Linked DNA regions of Elephas maximus indicus. The protein of the gene in region 1 purifies or fractionates together with the protein of each later gene. This does not show direct contact. Links are inferred from orthologs where the notes say so. Each region holds a gene or a part of one and is shown on either strand. Other genes may lie near its edges. The genes, in order: ATXN2L and LSM12.

Region 1 (15,037 bases):
TCTCGCCCCTGCCAAGCATGCTCCACGACTCACCTCCATTGATACCACGTGTCTCAGAGCCTGGGCCAGGGCTGCTATTGTCAAGATGGTGAGGGCCACGAGGTGGCAAAGAGCTAAGGCCAGGGCGGCCACCCCGGGAACTGTTACAGCGAACACCTCCCCGGGGACCTTCCCGGACTCGTTGGGGTAGAGGGATGTATTTCCCCTCCCTGGGGAGAGAGTTCAATTAAGGTCAGTTAGCCATAAAACCCATACATTTTGGAAAGATGAAGCCCTCCTTTCTTAAGCCCATCTCATCACCCCTCCCCCCAGCCCCGCCGCCACTGCACATGCACACGTAACGCCTGGCTCTAGCTTCCTTCACTACCCCACCTGAAGATATATCCTGGCTGAATGTTCTGTGGCTACAGGTTTATGGCCTTATGTTGTGCCAGCCTGGCTAATGTTCCACAATTCTACTGTTCCTGACTTATGAAAAAGATAGTATCACCCTGTAGTTCGAGACACAGCTTTTACAAAACACAGATCATTACGCACAGTTTCGTTTCACCGTGTAAAGGTGAAAAAAGAAATACGTACAGATAAAAGAAAAACAATATATATCAAAATTCTGGGGGGAAAACTTTTTTTCCTCCTAAATCCACAAGCTTTAGCCATGCTGCCTTAGATCAATTACTTAACCTCCCTAGACTTCAATCTCCAAAGCATAAAAACCAGGAATGTGTACTAGCCTATACCTCATACACTTGTGACACTAAAACAATAGTGTACAATGCTCTTTGCCCACAGTGAGCCCCAAGCAGTCCTGGCTGCCCCAGTAATCACCTGGATGCCAGGCTGGGGCTCTCCCGTCCTGAACTCTGCCGCTGGACTGCACTGTGCTTCTCCTCCTCAGTGCGCCCATCGTCATTCTCCATGGCGATCCGCAGGCGGTACTGCGGACTTGACTCAATCTCTCGGGCCAACTGGGCCGCACGCAGCTCCCGCTGACGGAACTCTTCTGAGTTGTCCTTCTCTAAAGGTACCCTGAGAGAACCCACACAGACCACCAGCATCCCAGTGCCAGGGGACAAAAGGGGAAAAAGAGAAAACACTTGTCAGTTCTATCCCCTGTGCAGGTATGTGAGTATCCTACCCCTTTAACAATTTAAGCATATATTCAGTGGGCGCCCACTGGAGTCTGGCAGTGTCCCATGGTATATCTTCAAGTCTGAAAAACACTTAGCTACAAACACACATAAAATGTGTTTTTAAATTCACGATGAAAGACACAGATGAAAAAGAAAACAGTTAATTCTACCTATGGGGTGCCCTAGAAATCAGGAAAAGGTAAGAGAAAACCTCCAAGGGAGGAGTTCACAAGGCGGACCAGGAGTAGGGGAGGGCAACCTGGGCACACAGAAAAGCATAAGCAAAAGCTATGTTCCACCTACAGGCTCGTGCCTTCTATTACTAACCCTACACCCTAAACTGCATCGCCCTGGAACTACCAAGATACTCACGTATAAGAAGAAAGGCTGCTATCATAGGTGGTCTTTACACCGTAGGTTTCCTCATTGAATTTGAACATTTCATTGGGATCCCATCCATTGGACTGGGTGGGGGGAGAGAAGGAAACGTATTTTAAACCCACAAAGAAAACAATCATGATGTGTCATTTTCCTTCCATCAACTGAAAAACTTAAAAATGTGACCAAAGCAAGGGTGGCAAAACAGGAACACTGCTGGTGGGACTATCAATTGATACTACCAACTGCTGCATGAGTTGGCGGTAACTGATAAAACTGAAAAACCCTAAGAACCAACAAATCCATTTCTAGGTTTTTACCCTAGAGAAGCTCTGCCACACGGACAAAAAGATATACATTCTGAAAGTTTAATAAAGCGTTATTTTTAATAATAGAGTAATGGACAAATCACAAATTAATAAAACCAAACACCAAATCCACTGCCATCTAGCTGATTCCAACTCACAGTGACCCTATAGAACAAAGCAGAACCGCCCGGTAAGGTTTCCATGGCTATAACCTTTACAAAGGCGACCTGAGAAATTTTTCTCCTGCAGAGCATTTGGTGGGTTAGCATTCGAGTGCTTAACCACTGTTCCAGTAGGGCTCCTCCGATCAGTACGGTAAAGGATAAAGAGTTTGGTGTGTGTGTATAAATGTGTATGTATATAAATTGAGCGCTACACGATAGTTAAAAGGCGTACACTAGATTTATATATCAACTCGAAAAATTTAAAAGACAAGCATGAAAAGTGAGCACCTGTGTAAATTAAACGTCGAAACAACAATGTATTCTTTCCTGAATACGCGTGCGTAAGCGTGAAACATCAGCCAGAGAAATATCAACTGCATCAAAGTAGTTGCTCTCAGAAAGCATAATGAATTTACGTGGTGTTCAGCCTTACCTGCAATCTGTTAATAAAGTCATCTGAAGCAACTATTAATAGCTGTCAATCCCAGATAGTGAGATACAGAGTATTTTGGTGATTTTTCTGTACCTTTTTATTTGGAATCTGACCACAGCCAACGAGTAACAGTAAAGGATTTTCCTCCCCTTCCCCTACAGGCTTGCTATGAGTTGGTATCGACTCAATGGCAACGGGTTTCCCTAAGAATGTCCTTACTGTTAACAACCCACATTATGGCACCAGAGTCACCCGGCCCTCAGGTTCCTAGGAAGGGAGACTTTACCATGTCAGACTCGAGGTCGTAGTCATCACTGTTGCTGTCGCCCCCCTCCCAGCGCTGGAGCACCTTCTCTTTATGCTCCCCGTTCACCTTGGAGTTCATGGCAATGGCTGAATCGGTGAATTTGTCTGTGGGGGCAGATTCGACAATCAGGAATCAGATAATTCTGCATATCCTTCCTCCCCCCAAAACAACTCATTCAGGAGTAAAGAAAAATTTAAGAAACCCAAATCTAGACTATACGTGCTATGTGCCAGGCCTGGAAGGAAGGCAGCACAGAAAACCTCATCTTAATAGTTCGAAATGAGCAAGCAGCTGAAACTAAGCAGGAAAAATGTGAAGAACTACAATGCAAGTCAGAAACCACTCCACTGTATCTTAGAAATAAAGGCACATTTTCAAGAACAACAAAAAAACCACCTCCCTCAGGAAAAAAAAAGGAGTGACTAAAACAAAAGAAGCCACCATTATGTTCCACCTGCACCCAAACTGCCGTCTCCTCCCCTCTACTCACAAAGTGGATCTGTAATTATCTAGAACAATACCTTTAGTAGCATAATTGAAGTCAACATTTCGAAAGTGGACTAGCATGACATCACTTGGCTTAAACACCATGGTGTCCACAATGTCTTCCCGACGAGGGCCACCTGCTGGCTCAGATGCTTTCCTGTGCACAGCATCTACTGCTAGTTCAAACTACAAGAGCCCCCATTCCCCAACACCCGAAGGTCAGTATCAAGAAATGTGAAAGCAAAAATACAACTATTTTCCCTTTACTCTTTCCAAAAGTACCCCATGTACACTGCCTTCTCAACACCACCCGAAGGCCTAACAAAAGTCTCAAATTTAAACATCTGACATTCTAAAATTCATGCTTTTTAACAACAGAAGAGCCCATGTTTATTCAGACCCACGTCTTTTATTACCACTTGTAGTATTACCCTGGCATAGACCTACATAATGAGTAACACCCATAATGTTGACCAATACCACCCAATCCAATGCCTTTGATAAATCTATTCCATTCTCCTCTTCCAGCAAAGTCCAAAAATAAGCTGATTCGAGTACACTGACCTTTGAGCTCAAAGTCTTGAAGATACCCTCATAGGTGGTCCCATTTTTCACCTTTACATCACAAGTAGAGCCCTAGGAGAATGAGAAAAATAAGAATGTCTCTAGCAAATTGAGTCCTAACCGTCTTAAACAACCTAGGGGTTAAGTACCCACTTACCACAACAGCTGTAAGGAAATGTAACATTCTGTAATTGTTGTAAACACCCTCAAACACCTGTCAGCGACAAAAGAGGGAGAAATAAGAAGTGGTCGGTCAGTCAATGTTTCACTTTCCTTTTAAATGCCCAGGCTCCACTCACCCCCACCTTGTGTGTGCTGGGTCTCCGGTCCTTCTCAGCCCCTCTACCTCTGTACCTAATCTCCCCTATACCCCATGTGAGCGGCTTTTAGGTCCTCATATCTTAGGGAGAGATAAACGTACTCACTGGTGACTGTGGGGGTCCTTTTCCTGTGCTCTGTCCCCTAAAAGGGAAAGGATAAAAAAATTGGTTATTTAAATCTTTTTAATTTTCCTTTACAACATTAACCTCAAAGCACTTAATATCCTAGAAACACATACCAAATGAAGATGCTGATTTAGGCTACAAACCAATTTACCAACAAGATGTTCAAATTCTCACCTTATAGGGGAAAACAACAGTAAGCATCAAGAGCCAGTAAATACGCTGCCTCCAAATTCCAGTAAAATAAACCATAATCGGGAATAATTGTCATTGGTCTGAAGAGCCAATTCAACACAACCTCCTCACTTTCTCCCAGGGGCAGAGGGCTGCATGCTTCCAACAGACAACGCTACAGTATTCGATAACCAATAACCCATCCCAGATATAAAGGCAAGACTTAGGTAGATTTGGTAGTACCTACCTCAGACACATTACTTCCCAAATAGAAAAGACAATCATTTTCAGTAGGTAGATTTGGTAGTACCTACACGCACCTCAGACACATTACTTTCCAAATAGAAAAGACAATCATTTTCAGCAGCCTCACACCCCAAGCCCTGAGAGGAAAGCCCCTCCACACCTCACCCCCTAGACCTCATTACCCATTCAGCCTATTACCAACTCGGACAGGTCACCAATCCCTCGGTAACCCCGCTCCTCGATGGCTGATGTAACCGGCGATTGAGGGCGATGAGGGGGCCGTTGGCGGGGCTGGGGGACAGCGCAGCCGCAAAAGCCATCCACCGGGAGGCCTCGCCCGGTCTGCGCCTGCGCTCTCAAGCCCACGGGCCTCTTCGAAACGCCCCCTCCCGTGACCAGAACCCACTGCGCCTGCGTGTACCACCACCCTCAATTCCATTAAAAAGAGAGACCGAGAGGGAGAGAAACCGAGTGGGGCCTCCAGTACCCCTCCAGGCACACGCCCAGCTTCTGCCCAATATGTTGCCCCGGACACACGAATGCCCGGGTCAAGAGACAGTGCATCCGCGCGCACGTACGGCAAAAGCGCGCGCGCGGCGGAGGTTCCCGGCCCGCAGCCCTCCCAGACCTCCCTCCTTCCGTCCCCCCGCCCTCCCCGCTCCCCTCCTACTGGCCAGACCGGGAAGGGGGAGGTAGCAACCCGCTCCCAAGTCCTTCCCTCCCTATTGGCCAAACTGTGGGCCGCGCGCCCCCCTCCATTGGCTACGGCCGGGGACCCCTTCCCGCAGCTGACTCCCCATTGGCTGAAGCCCGGGACCGCGAGACCCTCCGTGGTAATGGAGCCGGGGACCCCGCTCACCTTTTCTCCCCCCCGCAACTCCCCGATTCGGCGGTGCTGGAGAGGTGCGCCCCGCTTCCCCTGAAAGCCCGAGTCCCGAACCCTGCCTAGGCCTTGAAAGCTCAGCCTGGCCCCCAAATGTCCCATGGCTGCCCGGGGACCCTTTTCCTCCGACCTGTTAGGACCTGAGGGTACCCACCCCCATCTTCACGGGGGGCCTCTCGCTCCCCCCGGTGCCGTCCATAGGTGGTCACGTTGGGGCCCGCCCCACACCGCTGTACTCAGGCCCCGGCCGCCGGGCCGGAACAGAGCCGCCGCCTCCTCCTGGTAGCCTCTGCTCCCCCGCCCGGAAGCCCACCCCTCCTCACCTGGAGGTGCCGATGGTAGCTGCCCCTGGCCTCTCTTGATGCTGCGGCGGCGGCGGTTGCGGCGCCAAGATGCTCTCGGCTCCCCGGCGCAGCCCGCTCCCTGCAGCGGCTCCGGGCCCCAGGCAAGGGGAAGCGGCCGCGGGAGGCCCTGGGGAAGTCGAGGTGGAGGCCAGCGGCCCCGGGAGGCTGCCGTTGGGAGGGCTGGTGCCCCCGGGAGGCCGGCGGGCCACGGCCTGTTGCGTGGGGGGCGGCTGCTGGGGCTGGGAAGTCTGTTGTGGCGGCTGAGGCTTCAACATGATGGCAGCGTCCGGAAGGGGAATCAGGGGGAAGGGAAGGAGCGAGGGGGCCGGGACTAGGCCCCTGCCGGAGGGCGCGGGAAGCGAGGGGGGTTGGGATGCTGGGGACCCGCCGTTGGCGGGCGGGGGGAGCCCCGCGGTGTCGGGGGTGGATAGAGAAGACCGCGGCGCGAGGAAGCGCCGCGAGGCGGAAGGGGAGGGGGTCTCGCGGGCTGTAGGAAACCGAGAGGGCGCGAGCCGGCCTGGCGCGCGTGCGCGTCGCCGGGAAAGGGGGGAGCGCGCGGGTGAGAGCTCTCGAAGGGGGAGGGGCGGGGAGGAGGGAGAGGTGGCGCGAATGCCGGCGCGCACCGGGGCGGTTAGCTCCAGGTGGGTGAGGAGGGAAAATAAAATTAAGTGAATTTCGCGCCCTTAGCCTTTGGAGTGGGAAAGGAGCAGCGCGGGCGCTCACACGCGCCAAGAATTTAAAGTCTCTAGGTCTGAAACAGCCCTAGAAACTGGCAGCGGCTGTCGCTTCACAATGACCGTGTGAGCGCCGGGGGAGGGGCCGAGGAAGCGGAGAGGAAGAACCGGTCGCCCCGCCTACGCCGCCGGCGTAACGTCGGGATGCCTCCGCATTTGTGTGAGGAGGTACCACGTATCGTTCGATTCTTCCGCCATTCTGGGGCTAGTGGGTGGAGTCTAAATGCAAAAAGATCCCCGGAATTGGCTAAGCCAAGGGTTCTACTCCTTTAAGCAGGTGGTAGGTTTTGTGAGGAGCTACTTTGGACCTTACCTGCTTTAAATAGAAGACTGAAGAGGATTGAAGTGTCCGAGTTTATCGTACTGGCCTTTGCAGATTAGCCTAATCATAAATCTTAAATTTAAGAAATTTCCATTATCTCGGGGCCGAGGTTCTTACGGTCTAGTTCAAAACCCTCCCCCCAACTCTGATAAAGCCAGCATTCATTCATTCAAAATTAGTTGGGCTTTAGGACATTTGGATACAGCGATAAGTAAACCACTTCCTACCCCCAGGGAAGGAGCTCTGGTGGTGCAGTGGTTAAAGCGCTCAGCCGTGCTAACCAAAAAGGTCGGCAGTTGGAACCCACCAGCAGAGAAAGACATGGAAGTCTTCTTCCGTAAGATTTACAGCCTTGGAAACCCTACCGGGCAGTTCCACTCTGTCTTACAGGGTTACTATGAGTTGGAATCTACTCGAAGGCAGTGGGTTTGGCTTTAGTTTTGCCCTCGAGGAGTTCGAGCTGTTTGTGGATTCACGCAATTAGATGAGATCTGTTAGATGAAGTACAGGGCACTGTGAGAACAGATAGAGGTGACACCGAATCCAGTGTTCCGTGGCATCAAAATTGAAAAGACAGTAGAGAGATGAATTTTTAGGCAGTGGGAAATGAATGTGACAAACAGAAAAATTCAGCATGGCTGGAATGGAAACCCTGGTGGTATACGTGGTTAGCTGCAAACCAAAAGGTCAGCAGTTCATATCCACCAGGCGCTCTTTGAAAACTCCATGGGGCAGTTCTATTCTGACCTATAGGGATGCTATGAGTCAGAATTGACTCAGCGGCAGTAGGTTTGGAGCATAAAATTAGAAGAAGAGGTTAAAAAATAGAGACACGAGGTAGGCAACCTGGGACCAGATTCTAAAGGCCCCCACTTGATCTTCAATGAAGTGGGGTGGGGCTTTTTTTAGAAAATGAAGAGGTCAGATTTGCAATGTGGAGAATGGAATGGAGAAGTGATGGGCATGTGGTCTTATCCAGTGAAATTTCTCATGTCTTAATCTCTCTTTAAACCCTATGGGCTAGTTCTACTCTGTCCTATAGGGTGGCTATGAGTTGGAATCAACTCGACAGTGAGGATTGAATCTCTTTTTGCTCCAGGCATTATTAGCGTTAGAACTCTTCCAGCTCTCCTCCCCTCCTGCCTCCCAGTTAAAAGGCAGCCCTTCTCTGGCACTGGGCTTTTTGGGTCTCTTTGGGAAGTCTTCTCTCACCTCAGTCTCACCCCAATTTCCAGTGGGTTAGGTTCCCGTTCTGTGTGCGTGGCCACTTTATTCTGATAGCTCATTTAATTATGTCTTCCTGCAAGTGTCAGCTCCCTAAAGGTTGGGATCTTGATTCTTACTGCCCTCTCTGCACTACCTAGCACGATGCAGGCAGTCAATTAAATATTTGTGAGGTAAATGTTTCCAAGTCGTATCTTAAAGACCTTCATTCTCCTGGGTGCCTAAGTAATACAGTCTAGCTTTTTCCTGGCATTACCTGCACTATCTGGTACCATGCTACCTCTTCAGTGCTCCTGCCCCTCCCCCTCAGATTCTAATTAAACTTTCATTTCCATAACATAACCCATTGCCATGGAGTCCATTCTGACTTGTAGTGGACCCTGTAGGACAGAGTAGAATTGCCCCGTAGGGTTTCCTAGATTGTAATCTTTATGGGCCAGATCCCCAGGTCTTTTCTTCTGCAGAGCTACTGGTGGGTTCAAACCACCAACCTTTTGTTTAGCACCTGAGTGCTTAATCACTGTGCCACTGGGGCTCCCTTTCCACAATATGTCTTGCCCTTATTCAGCCCTGCCTTTACATGTGTTGTTTCTTCACCTAGAATTCCCGTTTCAATTCTCTAGTTTTTTATTCTTAAGTTGGAGTGTCACCTTTTCAGACATCCTGTTATTTACTCCTTCCTCTGGACGTCCAGAGCACCATATTGGTTTTGTTTATATATGTGTGTCTCCTTTCCATTGGGATCATGAAGGGCAGGGACTGTATTTTACTCATTTCTAGATCCCTTGTGCCAAGGTCAGTGGCTGTCACCCAATCGACAAATTGGTAAATGACTGGAATGTTGTTTTCTTGTATGAATTAAAAAACTATATGACTATGATTTGATATGGAGCGATTGCCAGGATATATTGTTAATTGAGAAAAGCAAAGTTCAAAAGAGTAGAAACTATGGTATGAGGAACAAGAGAAGGAAATAAATGTATCCGCAAATTTTTGCAAAGAGAAATAGAGGAAGAATAACCCAGAAACTAATAAAATTGGTTACCTGTTAGGATAGGGAAAAATGGGGGTTCCTTGGTTACTGGGTTACACTCTTCTTTTGGAAGAAGACAACAGAGCTCCGATGGGGGGTGGCCAGGGGAAGGGACACTTCTTTCAGTATACCTTTTCGTATAGTTTTGACTTTTCAGATCATAGCACAGTCAACATATTAAAAAAATGAGATCAATAAGGATGGGAGGCTAAACACTGAGTACAGATGTAAACAAATGAACCCAACTATATCTCAGATGAAGAAAATAACCACATTGAAGGGAGAAAAATAGAACTAATTCAAGTAGCTCTTCAAGTGTCTTCAGCCTAAAGGAAAAATAACTGCAAAAAACCTCAACTCTAGTTACAGTGATAAAGTCATGGCAGTTCTGAAACTATTTTGGGGTATTGTAGAACTGAGCACATGAGTGTTGTTGGGAGCCAGGGTTCTCAGTGGGGAAGAAAAAAAAAAAGGAACCCAAACCCATTGCTGCTAAGTCCATTCCAACTCATAGCAACTCTACAGGACAGAGTAGAAACTGGCGCACACAGTTTCCAAGGACCACCTGGTGGATTTGAACTGCCAGCCTTTGGTTAGCAGCTGTAGCTCTTAACCACTATGCCACCAGGGTTTCTATATACATATATATACACATAATACATTCGCATTCATATCTAGTGTCCAGATCTTGCTTTCCAAATAGTATTTTTCAATAAAAGGACTCAGAGCTCCTTGAAGAAATGGTTGATTCCAGGGCAGAAGTAAGGAAGGTACAAGATGAGTTTGGAACATCTTGTGGCAGAAAACAAGTACTTAAAAAAAAAAGTGATAAGGAGATCAAAGAGACATAGGAGCCAGCTTGAAGAGGTTTTCACTGGCCAAACCTGGGACAAATTGTGCATCAAAATAAGGAAAGTAATAGATCATAACCCACTGAATAAAAGAAGAATCTGTGCATCCATGCTGTTAATAGGTATAAACATACATGCTTACATACGTAAAAGGAAGGCACACACACTAGAGAAAACAGATGGACGTTCTTCAAAAACGCCCGTGGCACGAGAGACAAAGGTAGAGGAACTCTTCCAGATTGAAGGAGGCTTAAGTGGCTAATAGCTAAACGAAACACTTGATCCTGGCCTAGATTGCGTAATAGAAAAAGATTGCTATAAAGGATGTAAATTTTCCACTGGCAAATTTGGAATATAGACTATAAACTATTGGATCTATGATAAATTTCCTGAATGTAACTGTAGATATGTATATTATTAGAAAATATGTACTGAATTTTTATGGAATAAAGGAACATAATATATTCAGCCTGTTCTTCAATGGTTTTATACACACACACACACAGAACGAAAAAACAAATGTGGCAAAACATTAACTATTGATGAATCTAGGTAAACAGTATCTTTGCCTTAATTTTTAAGTTTGCAATTACTTGCAAAATAAATTACACATAAGTAAATAAACCACCTAAACATATTTATATCAATATCTGTACATATGTGAGTATGTATATATATATACATGCACACATATGTCAATATCAACCACAAACATGATAAGTTAGCTGAGCAGTTTTAGCCCTCAAGAGTACCCCTAGACTGTTCCCCAGTGTTCTGTGCATTTTTTTTTTTAAGTGTATTGAGCAGTAACACCAGGTTGAGCCTCCAGTGATACCAGGACTTCATTTGGCTATATTCCTTACTTACCTAGACATATAAGAGTGGCTGCAGGGCAGATGAGGCATTCATTATGATGAAGGCTGACCTAAATATGTTCCCCTGTCACATATCCTACAGGGACATTTTCCCTTCCTAAGGGCCTGAGCTACGGTTGCTAACCAAAAGGTCGGCAGTTTAAATCCACCAGGTGCTCCTTGGAAACTACGGGGCAGTTCTACTCTGTTCTGTAGGGTTGCTGTGAGTCGGAATTGACTCGATGGCAATGGGTTTGTTTTGTTTTTTTAAGGGACTGAGCATTGCCTACGGAGAGGCTGCAGGAGGTAGCAGAAAAGACACAGGGTTGCGTCCTAGAAGACAAGAATTCTCGTTCTGCCTTTGTCTCTTACTAGCTGTACCAACTAGCAAGTCGCTGGGCCTCTGTCTCAGTTTGTAACAGGAGAGGCTGGATTAGATGGGGGCCCAAACTCAGATGCCCATGAGGCCAGGCAGGTAAAACAAGCAGGCACTGTGGCAAACTATCTAAAAAGGGGTCTGCTCTTCACTTCCAGCCAACTCTTGCCAGGTAGGGGTGTGCTCCAGTGTTGCCAGAGATGATTTCTTAGGAGCCAGAAGTCCAGATTTGAGAAACTAGAAGTTTGGATTTTTTGAACATCTTGTGGGCCAAACAATGCACTTTTGCAGCTGTTGGGTTGGACGAACTCCAAGATCTGCTGTTCTCCTTCACCAGTTAGAGCGTAACCCTGCAGCTGGATTCTTTCCAAAGCGGCTCCTGCTGTGGTCCTTCCTCTGCTAACAAACATCTTTGCCATCCCAATACGGTACATGGAGCTGCTTCAGTCCTTCCGAGGAAGGTGGGAGCACCCTACCTCTGCCTTTCCAATTAGTTTGGTTAATGAGTTCCATTCCTGAGCTTATCTTCCATCTCGTTTCTCATTTTCCTCCTAATGGGACTCCAGGCACAGGTCCCCAGAATCCCATCCTTTTCCACTCAATCACTTGTCTCCCCCCTTCCTTCCTCCCCTAGGTCGCACATAAACCTATCGATATTACCTCCCCTCGACTCTGAGGAGGAGTCCCTGGTAGCACAAACAGTTAAGCACTCAACTACTAGCCAGAAGGTTGGCAATTCAAATCCTCTCAGAGGCACCTCGGAAGGCCTGGCGACCTGCTTCCCGAAAGGCCACAGCTTTGAAAACCCTATGGAGCAGTTCTTCTCTGCGTATACTTAGGGTCACTATGAGTGGAATCACTCAACAGCAGCTAACAACGCATTGGTAATATCTGTTCAAAGGGCCGAGGAAAACCACTGGAAAGCATTTGTCTTGTTTTTGGTTGACTGTTGATGTTGCTCCAGATTGCCTGAAAAATTTGTTCAGCTGTTTCACTTTACAGCTCATAGTCTTAAACAAGTTTATTTTTTCTGGACACGTTTCTTCAGCTACTGCAAAAAAATACAGTTCAATTAACTCCCCATCAGTAAAGGGCTTTCCTTGCTCAGCTAGCAAGTAAGCCACTCCAAAATGGACTTTGGTTGCAGCCTCACTTTCATTTTTTTGTTTGTTTTTGTGAAAAATATTCTGCTATACTGAAATATTCTACTTTAAATTTTCTAATTTTTCTGACTGTTGCATTTCTCTAAGTTAGGAATATGGTGGGCCTGGTAATGTCAGTGTACATTGCAGAGTTCTAGGGCCACTGAATAATAAGCATGATGCTTTGCCATCTAATTCAGTGACAAAATAATTCACACTTGGCTGTCATTTTTCTTACTTGACATGATAGGTATGTACTGGTAATTATTTTTAAAAAAGTCATAGTATGATGATACACGTGGCATTTGAAACTCATGTCTGGTTAAACTGTCACTGTGATTTGTAGCATCACAAGCAGCAATGTGAAGCAATGAGAGTACCACCCCATACAGTCTGTCGCAACTGCCTAATTCTGCTGTCAAAGTTCAAAAGTAGTCATAGACAGGACACAAGCAAATGGGCATGGCTCTATTCCAATAAAATTTTTAAAAATTTGATTTTCACATCATTTTTACATGTCATAAAATATTCTTTTGATTTTTTTTCAGCCAATTAAAATTGTAAAAACCATTCTTAGTTCACCAAACCAAAAACCAAACCCATTGCCTTCGAGTTGATTCCAACTCATAGTGACCCTATGGATAGAGTAGAACTGCCCCATAGGGTTCCCAAGGATTGCCTGGTGGATTTGAACTAACAACCTTTTGGTTAGCAGCCATAGCTCTTAACCACTACACCACCAGGGTTTCCTCTTAGTTGGCAGGCTATGCAAAAACAGGCAGTGGGCTGAATTTGGCCTACAGGCTGTTTTACCAACTCCTGATCATGATTTTGCCAACACTGGTAATTCAGTAATGTAGTATCACGACTTATCCCCTGACCTATCCAACTGCCTACTTGACACCTCCACTTGGATCCTATGGTTATCTCAAAAAATCAGGCATATGTAATTAATGCCACTGAGTTATACACTTAAAAATGGTTAAAGTAGCAAGTGTTTTGTTACACACATTTTATAGTAAACCAAGAAAAAGTAACATGCAAACCCATACCTCTAGCCTTTTTCCTCCAAATTTTATTATGAACGTTTTCAAAAGTACAGAATTTTATAGGGAACATCTGAATACCTGCCAACCGGATTCTACTGTTAACGTTTTACTATACTTGCTTTATCACATAGCTCATTAATCAAACAGACTTTGGATGCCTTTCAAAATAAACTGCATACACAGTACGCTTCTAAATACTTCAAGGTAGAGCTCAATGTTTAAAGTTTGTTTTCTTTTAGGTAGAAGTCACATATAACGTTCTAGAGTTTTACTTATATGGAATAATATAGTATGTACTTTTATTTTGGTCTGGTTTCTTTCACTCGGCATAATTATTTTGAGATTCATCCATGTTGTTGCACATATCAACAGTTCTTTTTATTGCTGAGTAGTCTTCTATATCAAGGGTATATCACTGTTGGTTTATCTGTTCACCTGTTGGACATTTGGATTGCTTCGAGTTTTTTGGCCATTACAAATAAAGCTGCTATGAACATCCATGAACAAGTCTTTCATGGATATATATTTCCTTTACTTATGGGTAAATATCTAAAACTAGAATGCTGGATCCTATGGTAGGTGTGTGTTTGACTTTTTAAGAAACTGCCAAGCCATTTTCCCAAGTGATTGTGCTATTTTACATTCCCACCTGCAATGTATGAGAGTTGCAGTTGCTCCACGTTCTTGCCAACACTTGGCATGGTCAGTCTTTTTGCAATTCTGATACGTGTACAGTGGTATCTCGTTGTGATTTCAATTTGCATTTAAACCATTTTCTCATCTATTTATTTCCCATCCATATATCTTCTTTCGTGAAGTGTCTGTTCAGATTTTTTACCCATATTTTAACTTTTTTTTTTTAATTTTATTGTGCTTGAAGGTTTACAGCTCAAGTTATTTTCTCATTCAAAAATTTATACACATATTGCTTTGCGATGTTGGTTGCAATTCCCACAATGTGACATCATGCTCCCCCTTTCCACCCCGGATTCCCTGTGTCCATTCATCCAGTTCCTGTCCCTTCCTGCTTTCTCCTCTTACTTTTGGACAGGAGTTGCCCATTTGGTCTCGTATATTTGGTTGAACAAAGCCGTGTGCTTCATGTGTGTTATTTTTTGTTTTATAGGCCTGTCTGGTCTTTGTCTGAAAAGTTGGCTCTGGGAGTGGTTTAAGTTCTGAGTTAGCAGTATGTCCGAGGGCCATAGTCTTGGGGGTTACTCCAGCCTTTGTCAGACCAGTGAGTCTTGTCTTTTTTCATGAATTTGAATTCTTTTCCACATTTTTCTCCTGTCTGGGACTGTCTGTTGTGATCTCTGTCAGAGCGGTTGGCAGTGGTAGCCAGGCACCATCTAGTTCTTCTGGGCTCCAGCTGGTGGAGTCTCTGGTTAATGTGGTTCGTTAGTCCTTTGGGCTAATGTTTTCCTCGTGTCTTTGGTTTTCTTCATTCTCTATGTTTTCTTACTGCTGAGTTTTGAGAGTTCTTTATCTTAGATTAGATACATGCTTTGCAAAGATTTTCTCCCAGTCTGTGGCTTATTTTATCTCCTAAGCAGAAGTGTTTAATTTTGATGAAATCCAATTTGTAGATTTGT
Region 2 (15,113 bases), on another chromosome or scaffold:
TTCTGGAAGTTTGTTCCTTCCAGGGAGGGTATCCTTTCCAGCCCCTCCCCACATTGTAGCCTACACCTACTTTCCCGCAATCTGTCCTTTTCCCCCTTGGAGCTTGGGGCAGCTCAAGGTGGCATGGAGGCCAGGACAGTGCCCTCAGGTTCTGGGGTCTCCCTGAGGGAGGAGGGAGCAGTAAGTTCGGTGCCGTGGCTCCAGCTGATTTGGGGGGAAATGCCTTAATTCTACCCTCAGGGGAGGGTCTAGAGGGTCCCTATAGTACTAAGGTGTAGGCTGGAGGGGAAGTGGGCCCCACCTTTACCGCTATTGCCTTCCCCTTTCCTCTCCTGGCCTCAGCGCCCAGGGGAGTGCTCATGCCACAGATGTAAGCCTGAGGTCTGCAGGCAGGGCTTTTCCCCTTTCCAGGGGTGGAGTGGAGAAAGTGTATGGGGAGGGATGGGATGGACCCTGGGTTCTGAGGGCCCAGGAGGAGCCGCAGAACCAGGCCTGCTGCCCACCTGACTATTAGCCTCCCTGCCCCTCGGCTGGTACAGCCTGGGGAGGGGAAGAAGGTGGTCCCTGCAGGGGGTGCTCCAGGCTGATGAGAGCCCCCCTGCTGATCAGGACCAGATTTCCCCCAACCATCCGGTGTGCTTCCGCAGAAGGGTCAGCAGTCCTTTGTTTTGAAGCCTGGGGATGGTGAGAGTGAGGTTCTAGAAGAGGCAAGGACAGTGCCAGAACCCAAGAACTCAGGAGTCTGCCCTCAGCTGGAGCTTCCCTCCTTCTGGGCTCCCTTTGCTGGCCTTGACCAAGGAAGCTACGAGCAGGAGAGGGCTGGGCGCTGCCCCTTCTTTCTTAGGAGCCCTGTCTGTGTCCAGGGGCTGGGGGCCCACAAGGCTTCCAGGGAATGCCATCCAGCTGTTAGGAAACCAAAGATGAGAAGTGGCTCCTAGGGGGCTGAGTCTTCCTCCTCCTCCCCAACACCACATACACTTTCTTTCCCCCAATCCCCAGGGCTCCACCAGTCTGTTTACATATTTATTATCCTAATACGGGCTTGAATAGGGTTGAGGGAGCCAGAGGGAGGGGCAGGAGTCCCTTTATGTTGGTTTGTTGTGCGCTGTGTCTTGTGTCTTGTGTGTTACAGATCCTACTGGGGATGGGGCTGGGGCTGGCCCAGTGTACCAGGCTTGCCCATGCGGAGCCCCAGGCGCCAGGCCCCTCACCTCCCTTTCCTGTGGCCAGTCTGGTTCTCATGTAAACCCCCTTGCTTTGTTTCCCTGGATATGGATTTCAGTTAAGTATTTTGTAACCTACTACACTGTATGTCCTTGTGTAAATAAACTTGTTTCTGGCAGTGCCTTCTGGGGCCAGTGTCTCTGTTCTCTGGGCTCCCAAATGGAGTAGAGGTTCTCATTCTCCTGGGCCAAAAAATCTACTCTGCTTTTCCCCAGCCCCTGGACTAGAAGCCAGTTTAGGCAACAGGTAGGATGGGGTAGGGGTGGGGTTCCTGTCCTGTAGCTGAAAGACATGGTCTCACTGCCTGTGGCCACAACATCTCACAGATGTGGCCTAGGCCTGACAGATCACAACTGAACCCAGAGCCCTTCTCTGTCGCTGTGACTCTGCCTCTGTAGAATGAGGATTGCAGAGGGGGCAGCCTGGCCAGGGTCCACCTGCATTCATGCTGGCAAGTTCAGTGGAGAGACAAGAAAGGAATCCAGAAATGTTCAAGGGCTTTATTGGGGCCTCCTTGAGACACCCCTCACAGTGCTGCAGGAACCGCTGGTCTTGCCATTGCTCCTGCTCTTTAGGGGCTTGGGAGGGAAGGCAGGAGAAGACCAGCCTCTCTGGGAGAGAAAAGGCTCTCTTTTGGGGCTAAGACCAGGTGGTGGGAGAAGTTGGGGAAATTCAAAGTAAGCCTGTTGGGAGCTGGACACTCAGAAGGGATGGGGCTGCCTGGAAGGCAGAGGTAGAGGAGTGTTGGCTTTGGGAGGGAAGGTAGTGGAAGGAAGTACTTGGACGTCAGGAAGAATGGATGGCTGGGGCTTCCTGGGCACTGAACAAGTGTACCACCCAGGGCACGAGGGCCAGGACCAGGCATGGCCAGAGGGTGAATTTGAGGAAATTGAAGATGTAGAAGAGGCTGACCTGAGGGGCATGGCCCAGCCAGTCCAGGGGACCTAGCAGCACCACGGCCAGCACAAAACAGGCAATCTTCTGGCCATTTCCCAGGTGTGCCCGCCGTACCTGGGCATAACAGGGAGAGTGCAAGGCAATGCCCAGACCCAGGGCGGCACCTGAATCACGGCTCAGGGAGGCAAAGGGCCGGCTGTCCACATGCAACCACTCAGGTCGCTCACACCACTTGGAAGCTAGGTTGATGGACCTGTGGTGAGGAAGAAACATTCCCCTGGAACCTAGAGGGCCCCGGCTCTTAGCCATCTGCCCTTTGGGGCCCAGCCTCATGTTCTGTGACTCCAGAAGGGTCTATCTTTGTGAATAAGCGGTGTGTCCTTTGTTAGCTACAGTTAACCAGGGACCTACTAGACTAGATCCAGGTGAGGTAGCACAGGCCCTAGCCTGCCCAGTCTTCAAAGAGGGACTTACCAAGAAAGATCCAGGCCCAGTGTAAAGAGGGTCCAATAGATGAGGCTGGCGCCCAGCATGAGAGCCAGCGCAGTCAAACCGTAGAAGCTTAGCTCCCGCTCCGTGGGCACCCGGGGGGTCATCAGCCAGCCCAGGATGACACCTGGGGAAGGGGGTGACATGAGCTTCAAGGAGTTGGGGACGTGACCAGTGAGTTGCGGCTTGGCAGGAGAACACACTGAGACACGAGGGGGACCTCGGGGTTGGCTCTACAGAAGCCAGGGTAAATGCAAAGATTTTGAACTGGTCCTTCCACCACCAAAGGCACCCTCTCAGCCACTCCAGTTGCTTACCAGCTATTAAGCCAGCCAACACCTGGTGTGGAAAATGTGCTAAGATGAAGACCCGAGACAGGCCGACTGCCAAGAGGAAGGTGCAATAAGCCAGGCTAGGCATAATCCGCACCCAGCGGCTGGAAAGAAGAAAGGCAAATGGCTCAGGGGGTGTCCACACAGCATGGCTTCCCTCTACACCCAGGCATGGCATGGGTTGACCAAATGTCCCAGGACCCCCAAAACTCCAGCTCTCAGGCTGCCCTACTGCCATTATCCCTGCTCCCATTGGTGAGCAATGCCAGACAGAGTATACCTGCGGGTCCGAGTGGCCAACTGGGAGGAGACGGTCGTCATTACAGGCCAGAGGGCTGCTCCTGTGATCATGCAGTGTCCAGAAGGGCTACCTGATGGAGAATCCAGAAGCTTGTGGTAAGAGGATGGGGGTGGAACCCAGGTGTCCCTGGTGATATCTTAACACATCTTCCTTCCCCTAGCCAAGATGAGAGCTTCCTTCCAGTACTAGTCCATAGCTCCTTCTGCTCTGAGGGCTTTTTTACTCCCCATCCGCCTCCTTCCCCCATGAGGCCTCTCTCAGGCTTCTGCCTTGGCCTGTGTACAAGGTGGGCAACTGGCACACTGGCATGGGGGCCCTCCTCCTACAACTTGACTCAGTCTTCCTGGGGTTTCTTTGTTTTCAGGGCCAGTGACTGTGAGGCTGGGCATCTGGTGGGGCCACCCAGGCTAAAAAGTACTCTGAAATGCTTACCCAAACCCTAACCATATTGGGAAAGAGAGGAGGGTTGAAGCTTCCCACCTGGACCAGTTTCACATGAAGAGGGGAACTGGTGAACCTGGGCTGGGGCCTGGCTGTAGTACCCAGATTCATGGACCCACCAGAAGGGTCTGTCTCCAAAGAGGAACCTGCAAGAGAATAGATGCAGGACAACATTAAGCACAACACAGGCGGTAGGAGAGAGGGGAGAGTAGCAGAAGGACACCTGAGAGTCCACGGGAGAGGGGAAGAGTCAGAATGGGAACTCTGATTCTCTGCCATTACCCCGCCATGGTTTCCTACCTTGGAACAGGTGAAAGCATGCTATTTTCTAAAAGCAATAGGACACAACAGATTGTGGAGTGTGTGTGTGTTGCAAGTCCAGATCTCCTCATCCACAGAGAGCCCAGGACCTGACACTTCTCTTCCCACTCCCCACCCTAGACTCTCACTAACCCTCCTGCTTCCGTTTTTCTTGGTGCCATATCCCCTCTCTCCATTTCCCAAATTTCATCTTGAATTACCCACACCTGCATTACTTAGGTGAGTGTCTCATGTTTGAAAACGGGAGTGGTGAATGGACAAGGTGGCTGAGAAAGTGTAAGGACAAAAAATTCAAAGTTCCCTGGCTTAGTGGGGGTGGCTTCTTGGCTAGGCCCTGGACAACCACACACTGAAGGCTGCTGTGGCCAGGAGAAAAGATGGGAGCGCAGAAAAGATGCCAGCAGGAAGCTGTGTGCCAGGGAGGGTGTTGCAAGAGGGACCTAACTCCTCCGCAAAAACAACCTAATTTCACATACTAGATGTTCAATACCTACTTAGCCCCTACTTTGTCATGTGGGGGGCATTAGCGCTCCACCAAGGGCTGGAGGTGGGAGGCCTGACGGTTGAGGGAACAGGACAAGAGAGGGAGGCTTATACAGACTCTGAGGAAAGAGAAAGCATAAAGCAAAGGGCAATTAAGCAAGAAGGAAACGATTTGACAATTGCTTTTCCGTTTACAGCAGGAATGCATAGCTACAGAAGAGTGGAAGGGAAAGTAACTATTTTGTTTTTTCAGCAAGTCATTCTTTTTTTTTTCATTCCAGTCCATTCAAGTGTCTCCTATGGACCTCCTTCCCTCCTGCAGAGGGAACAGAGGCTGAGGTGAGGCAAGGTGCTGGCTGCATGCCCAGGGAGAGGCACCACTCTGTTGTGCACCCAAAAGAGAAGAGGTGGCTCAAAAAGATAAGCCCCAAGGGCTGCAGGGCCTCCACCCACTTGCCTGGGATTCTTGGCTTCTAAGTCTCAGTGTGAATAGCCTACTAGTGAATGAAGAGAAAAAGGAAAAAGAGACAGTGTGCCCTGGAAGGCAATGCTTTTCAAACTTTACTGTGCACTGGAATCGCCTGGGTACTTTGTTAATATGCAGATTCTGATAGCGCAGGTCTGGGCTGGGGCCTGATACTCTGCATTTCTAGTAAGCTTTCCAGTGCTGCCTATGTTCTGATTTGCAAGGCTTGTAGCCTTTTCTGGCCTTAGCAGCTCGTGGGATGCCTGGCACAAAGTGTGCTTCTTAAAATTGCGTCAAAGGAATAAATAAGTAGATGAATGAAAAAGCGAGTTTAAACCAGGGCTTTCACCTATTTAAAAATCGCCATAGATGCTGGTTAAAATACAGATCCCTAGCCTCTCCCCCGGAGTTTCTAAATCACTAGGTCTGAGGTGAGGATGGGGTATTTGCATTTTTAACACATTCCTTAAGCGATTTCTCTGATCAGGGATACTGGTCCAAGGGGCGGGCTGGGTGGACACTGAGGTCTGAGTTGAAGATGCTCAAAGAGGAAAAGTCGAGGCCACGGGGTAAGGGTGGGAGGTGTAAAGGCCATGGGTTCACTCTTGGGGGAGGTGCAGGCTTCTGAGGCACCCGCTAGAGAGGTCAGGGCTTGCATAGGAGTCAGGGTCCCCAGGGATGGGGGACCAGGCTGCCAGAGGGCTTCGCTGTCTCACCACTTGAAGACCAGGTTGAGCCATTCAGTGATGAGGCTGATCCAGAGCACCGCGATGCCCACGCGGGGAGAGGTGTAGTAGGCCGCGGGAAAGTAGAACAGGAAGAGGCACTTGGGATCGCCCAGAAAGGTGACCCAGAGCCACAAGTTCTCCAGCCCAGGCATCTGATTCTGCAGCGCCTCGGCCACCGCGATGCCCGCACCCTGCGCCGACTCCATGGCGGCCGGGGCAGGTCGAGCTGGGGCTTGCTCTACCGCGGAAGGCGAGAAGGCCGGGAGACTGTAAAGGGGGTACCGGATGGCCTCCACACCAACCCTCCCGCACCCCAGGCCCCGCCCTCCCCACCGGCGGCCGGCACCCAGGGCCCACCCACTGCCCCGCCCCGGGCAGTTTCAGGCTCGCGCGAGCCGGACCTCTCGCCGGTTTGGTTTCCTTCTGCGCTCTTCCTTGGGCCGTCTCTCTACTGGGCAGCGCAGGGGACAAACCTTTGCGAAGCGTTTCCGCAGGGCCCCACGTGGCTGCCGTTGTGTGCACGTGGACAGGGGGCGTAGAGGCGGCCCCGGCTGCTGTTCTGGGTGATGGGACAGTGTTGGGGATGAGCAATTAAGGGCAAAGGGCAATTGAGAAGGAGATGATTTGACAACTTATTTTCTGTTTACAGTAGGGATGAAACGCTAGCGGAGAAGAGTGGAAGGGAAGGTAACTCCTATTTGTTCTGCTACCCTCCAAAAATAATCCTGCGATCTCTTGGAGAGAGACTTAGGAATACTACCTCCTCCAGAAAGCCAGGCATTCCCGGTCAGCGCTGAAGCGGGACCCTAAATTTGCGTACATGCGTACACAGCAAATCCGTCCACGCCTTTCTCGCTGAGCCCAAGACTCCCGCCCTAATCTATCCGCTATTGACTCGCAAATTCTTATTTACAACCGACAAAGTCACACTTCGTCCCACTTCTAACCTTGCCTCCTGCCATCCACAACCCCGCTGGGCAGATAAACCAGGAGATAGTAACAGTGTAAGAGAGGAGGGGGACACACCCATGACAGAGTTTGTATGGCTTCTCTGGAGGAACACACGGAAAACAGAAATCTCAGCTATTCTGGGTGAGGTCCTGCCTGGGGCGGGCGGGGGGAGGGGGAAGGAGACTGTTGAAATGTCACCTCAGTACTTTCCTACTTAAATAACTTTGTTCTTGGAGAGTTTTCTGATGGGTAGTTGAAAATGAGAGTGTAAATCTGGGTTCTTGGAAAGAGATTAGTTTCACTAATTAAAAAGGTGTGGGGAAACGAGGCTGGATATAACTCTGGATATATACATCTCACTCCCTTGCTAAATGTTTTCCGGTTGTCCCCGGGAGAAAGCCTAAATTTCTTGCAGTCTTTCAAAGTTTGGTGTAGCTCTAGTCTCAACCTTCACCAGCCTGACCCCCGTACTCCCTTGATAATATTTCTGGGTTATTTTCCTTTCCTTGAAATCTCCAAGCTCCCTCCTTTCAGGGGTCCTGACACATGCGGTTTCTTCTGCCTGGACACGGCCACCCTGTTTCCCTGGTGGTCCTTCAGGTCGCAGTTTAGATTTCTCATTTCTTCCAGGAAGCCTGTCATCACAGTGCAATGTAAAAAATGGAGTGAGTTCCCATGGGGGCCTGAGAGCAAGCATGAGAGATGAAAAAGTACTCTGAAAAACACAAGCATGAGGGAGCAGTATTTTTATTTCTATAAGAAGGGATTGTACCAATACACCCAACACAAGAAAGTTGATGCCTGTTTCAGGGCAAGGAAACATTTTTGACTTTTGTTCAGATTAAACCCCTGCGTCGATTAAGTGGGGCCAAAGCTGGCCCTTTGCTTCCTTGTGGGGATAGAGAAAGGTCAACCTGTTGTTCCTCCTAAGTGAGGCTCCAGAATTTTTACGTTGGGGGGCAGGTGAGCTAGGGGAATGCAGTTGGTTTGGGGTGGTTAAAAATATATCTGTGTAGTACCTTACATGAGGTTAAGAAAACAACTGTTTTTGATATCAGATGGAGATTAATGGGGGTGGGACAGAAGCCCCACCCCTCAAAGGCCTCCCCCCATAACTATTACTGCTCCTCACTCCTGCCCTTTGCCTGGCTTGAGACGGGGGAGAGCAAGGAGGGAGATGGGGAAGCGTTGAGTTCCAAGGGTGACGGTCATTCATGGGGGAACTATCATTGATTAAATACCTACTACGTGCCGCCTGAGGCCCTAATGGCACAGTTGTTAAGAGCTCAGGCTGCTTAGCAAAGGTCAGCGGTTGAGCAGTTTGAACCCATCAGCGGGAGAAAGATGTGGCAGTCTGCTTCCCTTAAGATTTACAGTCTTGGAAACCCTTTGGGGCAGTTCTACTGTGTCCTATAGGGTCGTCGGAGTCGACTGGACGGCAGCGGGTTTGGTTTTGGCTTTTAGGTGAATGCGTTTATACACACTATCTCATTTAAGACTTCTTTTTTTTTAACTACTCTGTGAGGTAGGTATTATCTAACACGGTGCAACAGTGAATAACACCGTCTTTGGAAACAGGCCAACTGTGTCCAGCCACTTGCTAGTTGTGTGACCCTGGACAGGTTCAGTTTCTCTAAGACTTGGTTTCTTCATTGTAAAATGGGGATATTGATTCCTACCTCAAAGGGTTGTTGGGATGCTCAATAAGCGATAAAACAGATGCAAATGAAGAAACAGGCTGTAGAGGTTTAGTAATTTGCTGAAGATCATATAAGTAGTATGTGGCCGACCTGGGATTCCGATTCCAGTTTTCTGCTTCTATAGCCAACGTTCTTTGCGCAACCATTTTGTAAATAGGTATAATTATCTTGAGCAACTTTCGTTAAATCCTCATAGCCTTGGATTCCTCACATGTAAATAAAGGTAGTATATATTACTTTATATATAGAGTTCATTCATTAAGCTCTCGCTGTGGGCAAAGTGTGCACATAATGGGGACTGCAGGTCATTCCTGTTCTCGCTGTTTATTCCACGTGGGTCACTTATCTTTAAAGGACCTTACAAACAGTTGCCAACGCGGGCGCCGCTGCAGAAACATTATTCTTCAGATTCCTTTTCATTTCCTCGTTTTTCCTCTTCCACCTAGGCTCCCGCCCCACCCACGCCAGGCCACGCCCAGGCGTGTGACATCAGCACGCCCCGTGCGTCGCGTCGCGGCGCTCACTGGGGGCCCGGCTTTCGCCCGCTGCTGCCGCCGCCGCCGCCGCCGCCGGCCGCGGCTGCTCTCCCAAGATGGCGGCTCCTCCGGGCGAGTACTTCAGCGTTGGGAGCCAGGTGTCGTGCCGGACGTGCCAGGAGCAGCGGCTGCAGGGCGAGGTGGTAGCCTTCGACTACCAGTCCAAAATGCTGGCATTAAGTATCCTTCCTTGCGTGGAGCCCGAGGCCGGGCCGGCGTGTATGTGCGGTGGTGGGGGGGTGGGGGACGACGGCGGCAGCTGGGGCCCTCTCCGGGCCTAGGGGCGACCGGCTACCGCGGCGCCCCGGGCGCATGCGCACGGCCCTGAACTCCCCTCCCCCTCCCGCGGGCCCCCACGGTCCGCTTTGGGCAACCTGTCTCCCAGCCCTTGCGGGAGCTGGGCCCCAAGAGAGGGTTGGTGGGTGGAGAGGGGCTTGACACGCGGATGGCTTTTTGGGGGGAATGCTGTGAGGGGAGACACTGTGATCGGGCAGGGGGTGATGGTAGTGGGAGGGGGCTGGTGAATTGGAGCCCGGATGGAAGGGGGGCGGGTAAGATCATGTGGGGAGGGGGTGTGTAGGGCAAGGAACTGCTAGTGGGGCAAGGGTATGACTGTGAGTTTAGGAGGGGGGCTATTTACTGATGGGATTTGATCCGAGGAAGGGGCGGAGGGGTGGTGAGCAAATGGTCCTTGCTCATTTTGGGGAAGAGTAAGTGCAGGTCAGAGTTTGTATCTGAACTGGGGGTAGTGACTTTTCCTGGTTTGTGTGTATGTGTGATGCCATTGGGATGGGGGCTGCTGACTTTTAGGCTTCTCTGTCATTTGGTAATTGTTTTGTGATGCGCGTATGGGAAATCTGGTGCAGAGGGGGCTTGCCAGGTTTTTCAGGGACTTATGTAGAGATGTGTGGGTTACAGGTGAAAGAGTAAGTTCTTATCTTCTCTTGCTCAGCCCAGTACATGGAGTCCTGACTTTTCCATCATAGTAGCCTCCCCTTTTGGAAGTGACAGTGCTAGAATGAGTGGGAAAAGGTGGCCTGCTTCTTTGGGGTGGAACTGATTTCTGAGTTACTCTTGGAAGTAAAAACACTTCCTGGATGGAATAAATGTGCCACCTTTCCCCCTTTTATTTGAGCTACAGGTGGGTTTGTTTGGGTATATTTGGGGGAGGGGGCAATCTTTTAATCCTGTATGGCATCTTTCAAAATGAAGTTACCTGTTGAGTCTTCTGCCTTTGAGTGGCAAACATTTTCATTCATTTAACCACTAGTTATAGATTTCTAGTTTAGGAAGATGTCCTTTGAAACAGCTGCATACAGCAAAGACAGTTGCTTTTTTTAAAAACAAGAAGTTATACGTGGACCTAATGGGACTCTCTATATTAGTGGTTTAGATGGAAGGATCTTTGAAATGAGGAATAAATCTACTTGCTTTTCATTGGCATACTGTAGGCACTTGGTACATGGTTGGAGAGTGCGCGAATGAATGAATGGAGTAACTAGCTAGGTGAGTTTCCTTTCCAGTGCTGTAGTTTTCTCCTCTGTAAAATGGGAAATATCCAATCTGAAAAAATGAAAAAAAGCATTATGTTATACAGCAAGTATTATACCAAGAACAGAAAATTCTGGCTCTGCCGTCAAGCGGTTCATAAGCTCCAGACAAACAGTATACGTAAGACATAAAAATTGCGTCGTGCTCTCTTTGTGAAGCAGAGGTGACAGAAACCCTTTTGAGGCTTCCCGTTTTTGGTTGTGAGTTTGAAAAGCTCAAAATCCTTTGATTATGGGCTTGGGTGCGAGGAAGAGGCAGAGATTTTTGAGGAGAATAGTAATTGTTGTGAGCCCCCTCCCCAGCTCCCCCGTGGCACACTTTTTTACAAGAACTTTGTGTCAGTTGTGTTTTCCATGCCCCTTTTGGGATGTGTCCGTGCCTCTGCTTGCCCCTATTTTCCTTAACTTTATTTTCTCACCAGAATGTCCTTCTTCAAGTGGAAAGCCCAACCATGCAGACATCTTGCTCATAAACTTACAGTATGTTTCAGAAGTGGAAATAATTAATGACCGAACAGAAACCCCTCCTCCTCTAGCTTCACTCAATGTTAGTAAGGTAAGGACTTGAGGTCAGGTCTGCCTGACCAAAATGGCGGGGAAGATGAGTCTCATAGACTCTTGATGATATGTACATTGTCTGTTGTCTGTTTTTCATTGACTTACAGTCACCTGTTTTGATAGCTTCTTAAAAAAATGTGTCATCTTAGTTTTTGTCTTTATTCTTGGATATCTTCAGCATATCTTAAGAAACATCTCAATGCTCAGACAGAATTGACAGCTTGCTTTGCCATGTGTGAAAGGGGGCTTTTTATTTTTTTTTAACCTGGCGGTGGTCGGGTGGGATGGGGTGGGGCTTTTGCCTGTGAATCTCCTGAAATTATGAGTACATGTGTATGTGTGCACACACGAGTATATGTGTTTCCTAGGTGAGGATCTGGAGTTCTTTTCAGATTCTCAGAGGGATTCACGACCTACAAAAGTTTGAAAACCACTTCCTTAGAGTTTCGTTTGTCTTTATGTTTGAATTTTGAAGTCTAACAAATTTAGATCTTTAGGGTGTTTTAAACCTGAACACACAAATTGATCTCAGAACCCCAAGTCACTTTTTTGGTTCTTCAGCTCCATTAGCCAAAGTTCATGTTGAGCGATTAATAACGCCCGAAGCCTTGTCGTAGCCTGTGCTGTCCCCTGTATTTGGAACACTCTTCCTTCCAGAATGACTGGTGCCATATCCATTAGGACTCACCTTAAATGGCACCCCTTCTAAGAAGTCTTCCCTGATCACCCAGGCTAAAGTAATCTTCCCCTCATTTCTCTCATAGTACCTTGTTCTTCATAGCTAAGGTGACCGTACCTGTTGTCCAAACAGGAACAATTTTGAGTAAAGGGCTATGCTTTCATTTTATGCTGGGACAGCATGTATAGTTCCTTGTGTCTTGGGCAAAGTAGAACCTCACGTCACCCTATCCTGGCCTTTTTCCGAATTATAAGCTCCAGAAGCTCTTTGCTATTGAGTCAATTCTGACTCATAGTGGCTCTATAGGACAGAGTAGAACTGCCCCGTAGGGCTTCCAGGCAGTGGCTGGTGGATTTGAACTGCTGACCTTTTGGTTAGCAGCCATAGTTTTTAACCACTGTGTTACCAGGACTCCTTTTGTAATTATGTTTGTATGTTGCTCGCTTATCTAATATCTGTCCTTGCTGTGCTTTGTCCTACGAGGATGGGACCCATACCTGTTTTGTTCAGTGAATACACAGTGCCTTGTGTTTAATAAATATTCGTTGAGTGCATAAGTTGTGCCTTTGGTTTTAGTAGTGGCTGCAGTTTCTTAAGTCTCTTGTGTTACTGTGGAAGTTTTTCCCTCTGGAGGAGGCGCGTCATAATGTACGTTCTCATACCTCTCTTGGGAATATGGTATGTTCATCACGATTCAGCAAAGCAAGGAAACACTCAGGCAGCTGAAACACTAGAGGGTAATAGGCTAGCAAAACGTAGACTGTAGTTCTACCTTAGACCTGGAACCCCCTTCTTGCCAGATTCCAGGGAAATGGTTTAGTGATAGCTGAGAACAGATTCAGAAGGGTCTTGGGTTTCATATTAAACACTGTTGTCCTTTCCAGGATGTCCTGTTCTTAGAAGCCTATGTTTCCAAAACCCTGGCTTAGTTAGATACCTCCTTACTGAAGTATAGCGCTCTTTGGCTTGTCTTCTGTTAGTTCAAGAGATTTTAAAAGATCTAAGTGAAATACTTTGAGTCCAATATGTTAAGGAGAAAATAGGCTCTAAGTTATCCTTTGATGTTTATAGAGTATGAGAAGCCTGCCACTAAATAGTGAATAGTAAGGAAAGATTATCTGAAAGAGGGATGCTTTTCTCCAATTTAAAAGATAATGGGTTTCTACTCTTGGAAACAACAAATGCCACCATTTATCAGCGAGTGCTTGGAGTGATAGAGGGGTGAGACTGCTAAGTAGGAGCTATTAAGCAATTCCCTTCTACTTCTATAGCTATTTGATCTCAAAGATAAGTAGCTCTTGATTATTTAGTTTGGGGTTAATCTTTGCCTTTAGGGTTTTGCTTTCTGCTGGTTATGTTTTTTAGTTGTTTACTAGTATTGGTAACTAGTTGTTTACCCACTCAGGAAAGTAATAGATTGGGGAATACCAGAATCTTAATTTCTCTTACTTTGTGGCCTGCTTGCCAATTCTGGAAAAAGGTTTGCTGGGAAGAGGAGACAGAAGCTAAAAACTAAAATTAGGTTGAAGGGCTATCTTTGGATTTCATTTTTTCATTCTTTTTCTGCTTGTAGATTTGTTTATGAGTAAGCTGTATGGGTTTTCCCTTGAAACCAACCTTTAAGATGCTTTTTGAGTCCTCTGATTGAGTTAGAATTAGAGATAGCCTACGGGGCTGTCACTGAAAACAGCCAATCTGGGCAGCAATTTACATGTTGCTTGAATGACAGGAAAAGTTCATCTCAGTTAAAAGCTTGGACTTGGGGATTTCTTAAGATGGAGGATGGTTTAAGCATGTGGAAAGGAACTAAAACACTGAGCTCCCTGGAAGAAAACTGCTGAAGCTAGTGCTTCAGACACTTGCATTTTTGGGTAGCACTAGCTGTGCTTCCAGTGAAAGATAACCATTACATGTTGGCTCCTCTTGCTGACCTAGTAAGAGCTCTGCTTAATTAAACCTGTGGATATAAACTGGATATTTGTTTACTCTGGCCCTCCAGGAAATGGAAGGGAGGACCTTTTAAAGGAAACACTTATTCCAGCCCAACTAGGGAAGGTATGGACCAGCAAGTTCTTGGAGATCAGCCTGTTCTGTTGTCGTTTGGCAGCTTACTGCAGGTTAGCAAGTCATCTCTATCCATGGCAGTGGGATAATAGAGGAAGCTTGGAAGGGGACAGTGAGGCTGGAGAAGGGGGAAGTTTTGAATATCATTTTATCTTCTCTAGAGTAATATTGTATCCTGTTTAAAGTGTTCTGAATTTCCTGACCATAAAACAGAAACATTCAAGTAAAAGTCTAAAAGCATATCAAAGCCAGTCATAAATATAATCAGATTATTCACCATTGTTGCGTATTGTTAGTTTACTCTGCCACAGAAGGCTTAAATGTTGTCTGAGGACCAGAGCCCTAATAGCCTCATGGTAGGGTGTTTCTTAATGAGTTCCTTGAATTAAGTCAGCATCCTGTTCTCTGGGTTAGTATTCTCTCAGATGATTTGGGACATGTCAGTATTAACAAGGTCTTTCATGTAGCATTTATCAGACTCTTACTGAAAAATCTATTTTGTGTAAGGCATTGTGGTAAGCTTTGCTGGGAGCTATACCTTACATTTTTATAGAGTTTTAGAGTTTGCAGGGAGATTTGACAACATCTCATTTCATCTTCTTGGCCACCCTTTGTGTTCTTTGGAGTTTTTTTTTTTTTAGTTTAATGTTTGAGGAAACAGGCTTATCAGATTAAGTGACTTATTCACGGATGCATGGCTAGTAGCATGGGAACTAATATTTGTAGGTGCCGTGCTCTGAGTTAGCCATCTCATTTAAATTCTCACAACAGTTCTTATGGTGTGGGTACCATTGCCATCTTACAGAGGAGTAAACTGAGGCTCTAGCTTAAGGTCATGGAGCTAGTAAGTGATAGAGCTGGAGTTTGAACTCAGGTCTGGTGTTTTGATGTCAAAGTCCTGTGGTTTTTCTACTTCTGTGTGCTTATCTCAAGGAGCTTATAGAGTAGTTTGGTGAAATGAAATGAGTACTTGAATGTCTATAATATTAAGTAATGTTTCTAAATAAACAGAAATATCTGTATTGTATGGTACATTTGCTGTTATCGGTGGGCAGTGTGATCTAGTGGAAAGAACCTAGGAACAGACCAAGCAGATCTGACTTTAAGTTACTTACCTGCCTTGTAACCTTACTGAGCATCAATTTCCTCACCTGTTAAAAAATGGGGATAGTGTTAGTATCTCTCTCAGAGTTGTTAGGAGGATTACGTCAAGTTGGCTAGGGTTGGCAGATGTTGGTTTTGTTCTCCCACAGTAGCTATATGTAGCCAACTGATGCTCCTTGAATTGTGGGATGGGGTGGGAGGGTGTGACAAAGGAAAGCAGCCAGGAACCTTGATGTTACTATGTCAGTCCTCCCTGGCATTGGACCTGACGTGGATTCAGAGACCTGAA

What was found.
Region 2: the proteins of ATXN2L (region 1) and LSM12 purify together in Homo sapiens (affinity purification with mass spectrometry; 4 studies listed by BioGRID and IntAct, with this or other methods). This does not show direct contact. The link is inferred for Elephas maximus indicus from reciprocal best matches to the Homo sapiens genes ATXN2L and LSM12.

The regions. Positions count from the first base shown.
Region 1 is NC_064830.1:88,853,736-88,868,772, forward strand, and holds the start of ATXN2L (ataxin-2-like protein), read right to left. Parts: upstream 6,409-15,037; 5' UTR 6,136-6,408; coding exon 5,840-6,135; intron 5,256-5,839; exon of another isoform or gene 4,954-5,255; coding exon of another isoform or gene 4,832-4,953; exon of another isoform or gene 4,816-4,831; intron 4,803-4,815; exon of another isoform or gene 4,673-4,802; coding exon of another isoform or gene 4,635-4,672; exon of another isoform or gene 4,330-4,634; intron 4,233-4,329; coding exon 4,196-4,232; intron 3,985-4,195; coding exon 3,928-3,984; intron 3,843-3,927; coding exon 3,771-3,842; intron 3,393-3,770; coding exon 3,242-3,392; intron 2,825-3,241; coding exon 2,700-2,824; intron 1,595-2,699; coding exon 1,503-1,594; intron 1,027-1,502; coding exon 826-1,026; intron 210-825; coding exon 34-209; intron 1-33. UniProt on the Homo sapiens protein: Involved in the regulation of stress granule and P-body formation.
Region 2 is NC_064837.1:50,606,532-50,621,644, reverse strand, and holds the start of LSM12 (protein LSM12), read left to right. Parts: upstream 1-8,828; 5' UTR 8,829-8,925; coding exon 8,926-9,049; intron 9,050-10,841; coding exon 10,842-10,975; intron 10,976-15,113. Other genes in the region: G6PC3 (glucose-6-phosphatase 3), read right to left, coding at 2,011-2,374, 2,596-2,737, 2,928-3,046, 3,223-3,313, 3,724-3,830, 5,671-5,888. UniProt on the Homo sapiens protein: Nicotinic acid adenine dinucleotide phosphate (NAADP) binding protein. Confers NAADP sensitivity to the two pore channel complex (TPCs) by acting as TPC accessory protein necessary for NAADP-evoked Ca(2+) release.